3 linked regions of the Oryzias latipes genome follow. The protein of the gene in region 2 purifies or fractionates together with the protein of the main gene of each other region. This does not show direct contact. Links are inferred from orthologs where the notes say so. Each region holds a gene or a part of one and is shown on either strand. Other genes may lie near its edges.

Evidence for each region. Proteins that work in one complex are often made in the same cells at the same time.
Region 1: the proteins of tmub1 (region 2) and erlin-1 purify together in Homo sapiens (affinity purification with mass spectrometry; 3 studies listed by BioGRID and IntAct, with this or other methods). This does not show direct contact. The link is inferred for Oryzias latipes from reciprocal best matches to the Homo sapiens genes TMUB1 and ERLIN1.
Region 3: the proteins of tmub1 (region 2) and E3 ubiquitin-protein ligase RNF170 purify together in Homo sapiens (affinity purification with mass spectrometry; 3 studies listed by BioGRID and IntAct, with this or other methods). This does not show direct contact. The link is inferred for Oryzias latipes from reciprocal best matches to the Homo sapiens genes TMUB1 and RNF170.

The regions. Positions count from the first base shown.
Region 1 is NC_019873.2:23,877,403-23,881,155, forward strand, and holds the start of erlin-1, read right to left. Parts: upstream 2,694-3,753; 5' UTR 2,589-2,693; intron 2,523-2,588; exon of another isoform or gene 2,441-2,522; intron 1,741-2,440; exon of another isoform or gene 1,738-1,740; 5' UTR 1,722-1,737; coding exon 1,609-1,721; intron 1,140-1,608; coding exon 1,058-1,139; intron 529-1,057; coding exon 482-528; intron 391-481; coding exon 329-390; intron 257-328; coding exon 131-256; intron 45-130; coding exon 1-44. Other genes in the region: inhibitor of nuclear factor kappa-B kinase subunit alpha, read right to left, coding at 3,621-3,680. UniProt on the Homo sapiens protein: Component of the ERLIN1/ERLIN2 complex which mediates the endoplasmic reticulum-associated degradation (ERAD) of inositol 1,4,5-trisphosphate receptors (IP3Rs).
Region 2 is NC_019875.2:10,863,618-10,867,370, forward strand, and holds the start of tmub1 (transmembrane and ubiquitin-like domain-containing protein 1), read right to left. Parts: upstream 2,233-3,753; 5' UTR 1,812-2,232; intron 1,734-1,811; exon of another isoform or gene 1,556-1,733; intron 1,195-1,555; 5' UTR 1,178-1,194; coding exon 723-1,177; intron 1-722. UniProt on the Homo sapiens protein: Involved in sterol-regulated ubiquitination and degradation of HMG-CoA reductase HMGCR. Involved in positive regulation of AMPA-selective glutamate receptor GRIA2 recycling to the cell surface.
Region 3 is NC_019870.2:16,803,602-16,807,354, forward strand, and holds the start of E3 ubiquitin-protein ligase RNF170, read left to right. Parts: upstream 1-1,267; 5' UTR 1,268-1,516; intron 1,517-2,096; 5' UTR 2,097-2,120; coding exon 2,121-2,260; intron 2,261-2,757; coding exon 2,758-2,833; intron 2,834-3,412; coding exon 3,413-3,527; intron 3,528-3,753. Other genes in the region: gpn3 (GPN-loop GTPase 3), read right to left, coding at 1-56, 213-260. UniProt on the Homo sapiens protein: E3 ubiquitin-protein ligase that plays an essential role in stimulus-induced inositol 1,4,5-trisphosphate receptor type 1 (ITPR1) ubiquitination and degradation via the endoplasmic reticulum-associated degradation (ERAD) pathway.

The DNA of each region.
Region 1 (3,753 bases), on a different chromosome or scaffold from region 2:
CAGATCTTTCTGCAGTGCAGTTTTGAGGTTTTCATCTATAATATCTGCAGGATACAAGGCAAACTATTCAAATACAAACTATTTGGAGTTTTAGGAAGGAACACTTATTGAAGCAGTCAAAGCCTCTCACCGAACAGCTCAATGTAGACTTCCTGAAGTGTGTGGACGCTACAAAACTGGTTCAATTCGTGGTGAATCTTGTTAAAAATGAGAGTTTTGTCATAATCGGCCGTGTAGTTCCTCACAATGTCCACCACTACAAACAAAGACACGGTGGTTAAAGTCGATCAGGAACGTTTGCAATCACAAAGATTTGAATACACCATACCTGCTGTAGGGACCAACATATTTACAACTTCTATTCTGTCAAAGTAGATCATCACACCACCACTATTACAGAAAAAAAACAAGGTTTAATTCAAACAAATAGTATCTAAAGAGTAATTAACTTCTGAAAATGTGTCTCTGTAAACAGTCATACCTTGTCCCACAAGGCACATTCTTGATCTCATCAGTTTGAAGCGTGGTCTAAAACAAAAAGTTCAAACATATTTTGACCCGAATGTTAAAGTTGAGAGAAATAAAACTAAACACATGAAAATGAGACAACATTATCCCAAATCTATTAGAAAAAAGAAATATCACAAATGTGGAAAATATAGCATTTGATTCAATTATTCTCATTTGTGTTACATTTGTATTATTTATGTCCAAAGGATCAAGTTTAAGCAGATCAGAAATAGTTAGAGGAATTAGCCACTCAATAAAAATTTGTTCCTTACAGCTAAGAAGCTTTGAAAGCAAAAGCAAAATTTTTTTTTTTTTAGAATTATGCAACTAAATGGTGCAAAATTTATTTTTTATTTATTATAGATCCTTGCTGAGTAAATATGTTTAATCATAAATTTTGACTGAGAACTTTTCAAAAACACCTCCACCTCCCAAGGGAGTCTTGTTTGGACCAAGCGGATTCAACGAAAGTTTTAAATGAATTTAGTTTAAAAAAAAAAAAAACATCTACTACAAGTTGGGTTTCAGTGCAAAAGTATCTGTTTACCTGCACTGCTCTGTATGTGGTGATGAAAGGCAACATGATATGATATCCTGGACCATTGGGAGTAGTTAGTAAAGCTCCACCTCTGGAAAAAAAACAAAAAAAACAAAAACAAGCATTGCTTGGTGCATATCCGCATACACAAATAAATAAATAAATAAATGAACGAGTTCCCAGTACAGCTTCCATATTGTCTTTGCGTTTATAATCTGCCTCACCAGATGTAAAGTATATTTAAATTTCTCAAAATCCTTTAAAGCTCCATTGCAATCATCTATTGATTTGTTTGAAAAGGATTCCAAGTGGTCTTTTAATTATGATTATGTCATTTTCTGGGACAGTTTCTGCAAAGCAGAACCACAATTTTAAACTTAATTTTCTTCATATATGTCCTCCATCATGAGTAAAATACCACAAGAAAGTGTTAAAAAAAATCCAGTTTTCATTGGGATTTATCTTTAAACAAGTAGGTCCCAATTGGTAGATATTAATGTCAACTATGAAAAACAGGTGTTTTTCACAAACTACAGACGTAAAAAAACCGAATGAAATACCTGTAGTAGACGGCAAGGTGTCCTTCCTCTATCTTGTGAATGGAGGAGTGCAGCATGAGGGCAACCACTCCTGCCATTGCTGCAAATACTGCCCCCACATGCGGCATTGTCATCCTCACTTACACACACCTGCCAGAAAAAAAGGAAATGTCAATCAGCAGAAATATTTACACAACGATAAGCAGTGACTGAAAGGGAATCAAAATACCCACAGTCCCAGACTCAGAAAAACAGGGGACCTTTCCGCACTTATCTGAAGAAAACATTGACACACCCGAGAAAACACTAAAAATATGGTCGAAATCCTAAGGTTTTGTAGAGTTCTAGCAACAATACTGCATCACAATATAATTTAAAGTACGCATAATGTGCAATTTAGGTGTCAATATACACATTGAACCAAATTTGCTGCAGGGTGAATCAATTTTGTATTAAATCTGTAAAGTAACAAAAACAGCCCAATAATAAAAAAGATTGAACGTTTGTTTATTATGTTTTGGCCTACAATTTAAATCAAGTAAAACGTTGGTTGTTAAACATGGTGAAGATCAGTTTTGAAATGTAATGGAACCTCGATGCGTAACACGAGAACTAATGGGAATGCTGGGAAGTGTAAAGCTAGCGTGCTTCTTTCTGCTTTATAACTTGTTCTTAAAAAGGCAGCAAGTGAGATGCCTCTACAAAGTAATAAAGCAGAAATTAAACGATACAAATCTGCATACTCGAACATGACCGACTCATTGAGAAAGTGGAAAACGGAAGACTACTAGCAGGTTCGCTTAGCTAGCTAGCTAGCTAGCTTTCTCTAAGGGTGGATTCGGAAATCGCTTACTCCGTCGGCAAATTGCACCTAAGCGCAACTTCAAGTTGTCAAACGGCAATAAAATATAACTAATATTCACATAATGGACAATGCTGTTGATTATTTAAACATCTGAAACATTACAATAAATATATGGTTTTAAAAAATGAAAAATTACCCAAGTATCGAACAGTTGCACTCTGGTCTTATCATTCGACGGACCATCCCCCTCACGTCACTCCTCCCCTTCCAACGCTGATTTGCTTCATCGAAGTTACTTCAGGGACCGTCGAAAAAAAGCCAAATGCGATTTTAAAAAAGTCCTGGGGACAGTAAATTGTTTTTTTCTTCTTCTTATTTCTAGTTATTTTGCGTTTCTGAGCCTGGACAATTTGGTACAGGAAATATTTTAAAAAAGAAATAAAAATAATATTCGGTGGCAAACTCTATAATTTAGGGTCAACTTTTCTATAAAAATATGAATGGCAAAACTAATACTTTGACAAAGACCTATTCAAAAATGAATATTTATAATAATTATGACACACAAACTATGACACAAAAAAGGCAGACGGTTTAAAAAAAACAAACAAAAAGGGCATAGATCACTCATTAAGAGATATAAATTTGAAGAAGAAAAAAAGAACAAATGAGAAATAAGGGATTCGGGAACCAAATAATTGGACAGAGCAAACAAAAATATGAGTACAAATAAAATGACTTATAAAAACTGAAAATAACACAACACTGTAAAAATCCCAAAATCTATCTAGGCAAAAATGACATGAGAAGGTACCTTCATGCAAGTCTTAAGGTTTAAAAATGATATTTATGGTGATTTTCCAACCAAATAATTTAAAAAACTTTATTTCTTCTTGTTTTTTTCTTCTTCATGCAATTAACTATAAGAAAGGCATTCAGATTACTCACAAGGATGACTCAGACAAAACAATGTTTGTGTTTAACACCTTTATAAAAACGTCAGGTCACCTTCCATTGTTAACACATTCTTTTAACAAAAATAATGCACTTTGATTCATCTGAAAATAAATATGTTTAATATTTAAGGACAAAACACTCATTAAATATGTTAACATTTTTTCATGGACAGCTTAAAAACACTTTTTATACGTTATTGTCAAAGAGGATAATGTATAGGCACACATAGAGTGTTTCTGATATGCCAGACATTGTAATCTTTGGAAAGTTTTCATGGCTTCTGAGACTGGACCTTCACTGCTCCAGACTGAGTCCAGCTCCAGTCTTGATCCTGAAGAAAGAAAAAAAACCTGTTCAAAATCAAGCAGACTTAAAAGAAAAACCATCAAGACACAAGACCAACA
Region 2 (3,753 bases):
ATAAAAAAAAACTCTTCATGTTGAGCAATATTCCAATGTTCAATGTTTTATAAAGTATCAGAAATATTTCAGAAGGGTTTTTGATGAGTGAGGATCTGTGGCGGACATTCTTCCCCCACAGGGGTTGGGGGTGCTTCCAGTATTTCCGGGTGCCTCTGACCCCCCCCTGCGCGAATAAGGTGGCAATTCTGTAGTGCAATATAGTATGGTAAAGTGCACCGTATTACAGTAATGCAGTCCTTTGTGTTGTGTTGTACAGTATGGTTCAGTGTATGGGATGGTGAATTAGAGTTTAGTGTTGTAAACTACAGTCCAGTACAATGTATTACAGTTTATTCCAGTGTAGTGTGATGGTATACTAGAATATAAAACAGTGAATACAGTGTTGTACAGTAAGTACAATGTAATGCAATGTAGTACAGTGCTGTACACTGAAGCCTATTTTAGTACTGTGTAGTAAGATGTAGTACAATGAAGTACAGTAAAGGACGGTGAAATACTGTATACTACATAGATAATAGTGTGGTATATTGCAGTACCGAGTACAGACAAGTATGGTGTGATATGGTCCATTGCAGTGCAGTACACTGTGTTAAATTGTACTGCAATGAAGTACGTAAAAGTAGAATAAAGTACGGTGTAGTACAGTGAAGTGTGGTGCAGTGTAATACCATGTAGTGCAGTACAATAAAGTAAACTGATAGATACGATAGAAAAGTTACCGTTTGATGTATCCGATGGTGTCTTGTGGTTTGACTTGAGCCGTTCTCTCTGTGTCGTTCAGAAATTTTAGTCTGACCACCATGTTTCTTGGGGAGGACAATGGCTCCCCCCCTGCTCTGTGTCTGACTCCTCCCCCCACCTCACTACCTTCCTGTGTGGCGGAGGTCGTGGGTGGAGCCTCTGACGGGACGCTGTCATTCACAGAGCTGGCAGCTGAAGATGAGGATGACGTTGGAGAGAAAGACAAGGAGCTGCTGCTGGTGGAGGACAGGGGCGTGTCCTGTGGGGCAGAGACGGTGCCTTCTGTGGGGGTGGGGTCTGTAGAGGCATTGAACAGGTGCTCTGGGGGCTCAGAGGTGTGGGTGGAGATCCATGCCAGCAGCAACACCAACAACACCAGCAGTGAGCCAAAGAGCAGCGTCACCTCATCGCCGACACCTTCGATTAGAGCCATCGCCCACGATGACACACCTGCAAACAGGAGGCGGAGCTTAGCGTCAGCCATCACGAGTTTCATTTGTCATAGAGCACCACCGATAATAACTCTTAGCTTTCCGTGTGAATGTAACCAACTCAGAATTGACCGGACTAACCATAACCAGCCTGATCTTTTGATCTATTTTCAACGTGTTTCCTTTTTATACTTTTACTTGTTCATTTTTTGATTGAATGTATCAAACACAGTTAGCATTTAAGTGCTGCTTCAGTTTACATAGGTATTTATTCAATGTGCCCTAATAAAAGTATTATGAAGAAAAAAAACCCAGGAAACTTTAAAATGCGAGCAGTACAACTATGATGACGTGGTTGAAGAAGCCCTCTCCGCACTCACCTGTTCTTTTTGTAAACAAACTCCCAGTATAACCCACGTGGCATTTTCAAAGTATTCCCGGACCCTGAACCGTTCTAAACTGCCTCACTAAGATGACTGTTACCCAGCCAAACCCTCATTATTTCACTTTTACACTGCGGCCGCACCTGTGATCTTTCCTCGATGTCTGAGCGTTGTCAAACTGAGGTCAGCTCCCCACGCGCCCTGTAATGCCACCTGTTAATCACGTCACGTGACACACAGAAGCACATCTCACCTGGAGGGTGGACGGCCGGACTATGTATGTGCAGATCCAAACATGCAACTCGAACCAAACCATGGTCTCTAGTGTAACCTGGCTTTATCGGAACCTAAGTTCCGAGAAGCTAACTAACAACTCTGACAAGAGAACGAGTTCAGAGCGGGATACGAACAACCTGACCGAACCTTGTTTAGAGCTGGACCCAAACAGAGGCTAAGAGGAAGCCTCGGAACAAACAGACAGACTTGAAACTCACTGATTAAGGTCCAAACGTCATATCATGAGTTGTTAGCCCGTGGGCTTCCAGGCTAATGTTCGCCAGATGGTCACTTCCTGTTCACGCTTCTTCTTCTGGCCTCCCGGTAGAACCAACGCGATGATGGTGGCATGCTGCCATCTGCTGGTACTTGGTGAAACACCACACGTTCAGGCCGTTGATCAGAAATGAATGAGAAACCTTATGGTGGATGAAAGACAGACCAAAGACGTTCGTGGAGTGAGAAGTGGTTGGTGTGAGCAAAGATGCACACAGCTTAAATGGTCGGAGACATTCCCTAAAGGGAACAGTCAAAAAGTGAAAAAACGTAAGCTTTCTCGATCATTACATTCAATTGTTTTATAAAACACATTGTCAATCATATCGTAATGGTGGTTTAAACTCACACGGGGAGAGACTCAATTTGCCTCATAGTTCCTGTATCCTTGAAGTTTCAAAATAGATCTCTTATGTAACGACTAGTTTACTTAATCTGCCTAAAGTCAGCTGCCTAATTCAACCTTTACCTTTTAATACATCATTTCAAGGTGTTATCAGAATCAGAGATACTTTATTGATCCCACACGTGGGAAATTTGTTTGTCACCATAGCAACTGACAGCAGAGGGGAAAAAAGACTAAGAATTAAGTAAAAAAAAAAAAAAAAAAAAAACAAGAACAAGAAAATGTAGCATAAATACAGACATCAAGGTATTATAATTTAAAAAGCTATTTACAGAACAGTGCAAGTAGAAGATGTGCAAAAGAAATGTGCAAAATAGAAAACAACTAAATAAATAGGTAATAAAAGATGTGCAAAGGTTATTTTTTGCATTGTGTGTTGTACAGGGTTATTGCATTGGGTATGAATGACTTTTGGTACTGGGCAGTTTTGGAGCGGAGCTGTCTGAGCCTCCTAGAGAAGGAGCTCCGCTGTTTGTTCAGAAGAGGGTGAAGAGGATGCTCTGGGTTGTCCATGATTGAAAGGAGTCTGTTCAGGGACCTCCTCTCCATCACTGCTTCAAAGGTGTCCTGTTTGCAGCCAATGACAGAACCCGCCTTCCTGATCAGCTTGTTCAGTCTGTTGGTGTCACTGACTGCAATGCTGCTTCCCCAGCAGACCAAGGAGGAGAACAGGGTGCTGGCTACCACAGACTGGTAGAAGATCCCCAGCATCTTGCTGCACACATTAAAGGACCTCAGCTTCCTAAGGAAGTAGAGTCTGCTGCAGGCCTTCTTGTACACAGCAGTGCTGTGGCTCCTCCAGCTCAGTCTGCTGTCGATAGTCACACCCAGATATTTATACTCCTCCACCGCTTCTACATCCTTGCCCATGCAGAGGCGTTGTAAGACAGTCCTTTTCCTCCGGAAGTCGATCACCATTTCCCTGGTCTTGTCCACGTTGAGCAGCAGGTGATTCTCTCCAGCCCACTCCACAAATCCATCCACCAGCCTCCTGTACTCCTCCTCCTGTCCACCGCTTATACACCCCACAACCACAGAGTCATCAGAGAATTTCTGTAGGTGACATGACTCTGAGTTGTGCTAAAAATCTGAGGTGTATAAGGTGAACAGAAATGGAGAGAGCACAGTGCCCTGTGGGGCTCCCACACCACTCAGCACCACGTCAGACAGGACACCGCCCAGTCGGAAAAACTGTGGTTAATCTCTGAGTCACGCTGGTTGAATTTTTGGCTTAAGA
Region 3 (3,753 bases), on a different chromosome or scaffold from region 2:
TGAACTGAGCGGTTCAAAGCCTCTGCATGCTGGGTCATGGTGGAGCAGTACGTACTCTGAAATATTAATAATAATATTTTAAAAAGATACAATTAATGGCAAAACACAATAACAAAATAAAAACACGCTGGGTGACTGACACCACCTCATGTACTGTTAGCAACAACAGACAAGAGGCTGTAGACCATCCAGTGGCATTTTTGAAAACATACCTTTCCGCTACCAGCCGGGCCCATCACCAACTGGGCATAGCGAGGCATTTTCTCTGAAAAATGCGGTGTGATAAAGATCTTAAGTATCTTTAACCACAGACGCTAGCTTGTAATGCCATACGCATCGGTGTGATGACGCTACTTCTTCTTCTCCGGTAGATGATTTACGGTCAGGCTCATTACTGCCACCTACTGATCAAAAGAGGAAATGGAAGTCAGGGTGACAGTGGTCTGAAAAAGAGCCACAATGGAATGAACTGGTGATGAATTATTACACCTTTCGCACGGTGGATGTGAAAACAAAAATGCAATCCCATCTTTGCATTTTCGCTTTAATTATGCCACAGAATAAGCGGTGTTGAAGAAGAAAAAGAAAAGCAGATTGGCTCATTCGTTTGTAATTTTATTTTTTAATTCACTTGATGCAGTTACATTTTCAAAATGAAAAAGCATTTCTGTTAATAAACTTTGATGATCAAAGAAGATATTTCTAATTACATTATGCTACACATTTAGTAAAAAATGTCGAATACCATTTTCTTTCTCATTTTAATTAAGTGACAGAATGAGCTGTGTTGAAGAAGAAGAAAAAGAAAAAGTGGTTTGGTCGGATTGTTTTTTTTTTTATTATAAATTATTACAAATGCAGCTTCATTTTAAAAATTGAAAAAGCATTTCTGGTATTGACTTTCATTTTAAAATATACTACAGAAATCTTCCATACGAATGTACTGATGATGAGCATTGAACCAATATAGTGAGGAAAATACTGTGCAACAATTGTTTTCTTTTTGTGTGTCAATTACCATTGAGTCGCAAATTCTGTGGCAGTGTCAGTTGTGGCATTTTTTTAAGTTTCCCCAGGAAATGAAAAATTTTGCTCTTTAACTTTAAAATTGCTTTATTAAAACCATATGTATTTATTTGAACAAGTCGTTTAAACTGCCTATGATATGACCACGATAACCATGAAACTTAAAGCAAAGATCATGACAATAAGTTGTTCACAAACTGGCCGTTAGGGAGCGGTAGAGCCCCAGGGATCTTTGCTGTCAACAAACGAAACCACCAAAATTGAGTAAGAAGTAGAAAGTGACTGCATCAACATGCGATGATCAGGTGAAATTTGGAAACGTATGCAAGCCTTCCTGCTCACCAAGTTTGTTGATTGCGTCCTTCATCAGGCGCTTAAATTAATAGTATGTTTCGAGGAAGTGAATGGAGTTAACAGGCCAAGTTTGTGTACAGACATTACCGCGTGACGGTGGACTTCTTAGCAGGTACTACTACTACTACTAACTATGGCAAGTCTTTGTTTTTCTATTTTTTAAAACAAATGTTTTCTTTTTTTGTTGTATTTTTTTTTGCTGTCTGAAACACGTTCATGTTAATTTTCGTCAGTGCTTTCGATTTACGTGATATGAAATAGTTTCACTTCAGGAACTACCTTAAGGTTTGTTGTTAGCATAAGGCTCTGTATTTGTTTACGAGCGATAATAATCCTCTCTTTTTTTAAATCCTAGTTATAAATGACTATAATAATCGTTTGTGTAGCGTTAAAAAGTAATGAGGTCTGAAAACCTCCGTTAAGATAAATGAACCTATAAGTAAACATTAATTGTTTACAAATGACGTTTGCTTTCAAGAATTCTCGATAAGCTGCTCAGGAATGAGGTAACAAAACCCCAAAAGAGTCCAGCTTTCAACAATTATCCACTCTCTTTGTTCTGTTAAATTGTTCACATTATATTGTTTGGTTTTTATGTTTACAATTGTGTCAAATTGTCAGGAAAATGTACAATTAAAAAGATTCTGTTCTCCATTGAAGGCTTTTATTTTGGAGATAAAGAATTTCCGGGTTTGTTTTCTCTGCTCATTTTCCAGAGTCATAGGATATGAGTTTAGGGAATGGGGGATAGTCAATGTGGAGAGCTGGACTACCTGATCCAGGATGAGGACACCATCATCGAAGGTGTCAGCAACCAGGTCCTGTTTGTTGTAGTTCTCAGTTTGACCTTCCTGGCGGGCCTCCTCACTCTTCTCTGCAGGTAATGAAGACCAACAAGTCTGTGCAAAAACTGGCAGCATTGAGTTCATGCAGTGTTTTTACTGTGCTGTTCTCTGCTGATTGGAGAAATTATGCTGCTGTTTAATTTATGTGATATCACAGATATAGGAGCTAATTCTAGAATTTAAAGCGACTGAAGTAACGCCAGATCGATCAGGCTCGTTTCCCTGCGCAACGAGCAAAATGATGGTCTTTGCGCTCCAATCAAAGTTGGCAGATCATTTTACTTACATCATCATTATGAAATTTTCTTTCATTGATCCATTTCTTACCGCAACGACGGTTGAAAACCTTTTGTCCTTCAGGCAGAAACACATAAGTGAGAATTGACACACTCAGATTGCCTCTCTTTGCGTTAATCTGTTGCAATCTTTTTGTTTTTGGATTTTTCAAGTCAGGGATTTAAGGATGAATTCAATCATATATGACATAATTCATCCTAGTGTCTGATCATTATTCTTTGTCTTCTTTTTTAAGGCAAGATGAGCAGAATATCCACCCTGAGAACCAGGAGCATGTCCGAGCGGTCCGACAGCAGCTTCAAACTGAACAGGTGCGCAACCTAGAAAGAACCCCAGAAAGTTTTTGGCAAAACCTAGACTAGTTGTAGCCACAGAGCGCCGTTTTTCTCTTCTGTTGCTTAATTCTGAGTTTCAAAATAAAATCATTCACTGCTCTATTTTTTTAAAAAATCAAACAAGTAAACAGAAAATAAATGTAGCTTGTTTTTTTTTTTTAACTCTTGGAGTTGTAATACTTTAAAATAACCTTTTTATTTATTTATTTATTTATCTGAGTAAGTTAAAACTACATTTTTAAAAATATTTATACATATACATATACAGACGGCCAGTATCTTCAGTATTGAATTGAGTTTAAACTGTTTGCTCATCGTCACCTCAAAAGGCTTTAAAATTCAGTGAGGAGTTAAGAACATATGTAAGCAGGCAGACACAGGAAATGGAGGAACTGCAGAATCAGAACCACTACATTGAAATATTTCATAACAGTGATCTTTGCAGCTCTGCAGAATCACCGATTCTATTTTAGGAAGATGTCTTTCTGTGTATTTTATTTTGTCAAACGTCCTGTTTGCAATGGTGAGACGTGTTCTCTGCGTGTGGTTTGTCAGGATGAAAACCCTCAGGCAGAGGCCAGGCAGCAGTTCTACACAGACATGTCTTGCCCCGTCTGTTTGCAGCAGGCGGTTCTGCCCGTGGAAACAAACTGTGGACACCTTTTCTGTGGTAAGAAAGAGTTTAGAAGCAAAGTATAGTTTAGGGGTTCCTCACACAATTTATTAGTGAAGGTACTTTTGATATTCTGTGAGGAAATTGTACAATCTTGTGCTAATTTCTTCTAAATCTCCTGTAAAACAGGTTTTGTTTTAATTTTAATAGTTGGAAGTTGTGTCAAACCCTCATCAATGAGATATTTTACTTAGATGTGGATTATTTATGGTTTTTAAGATGT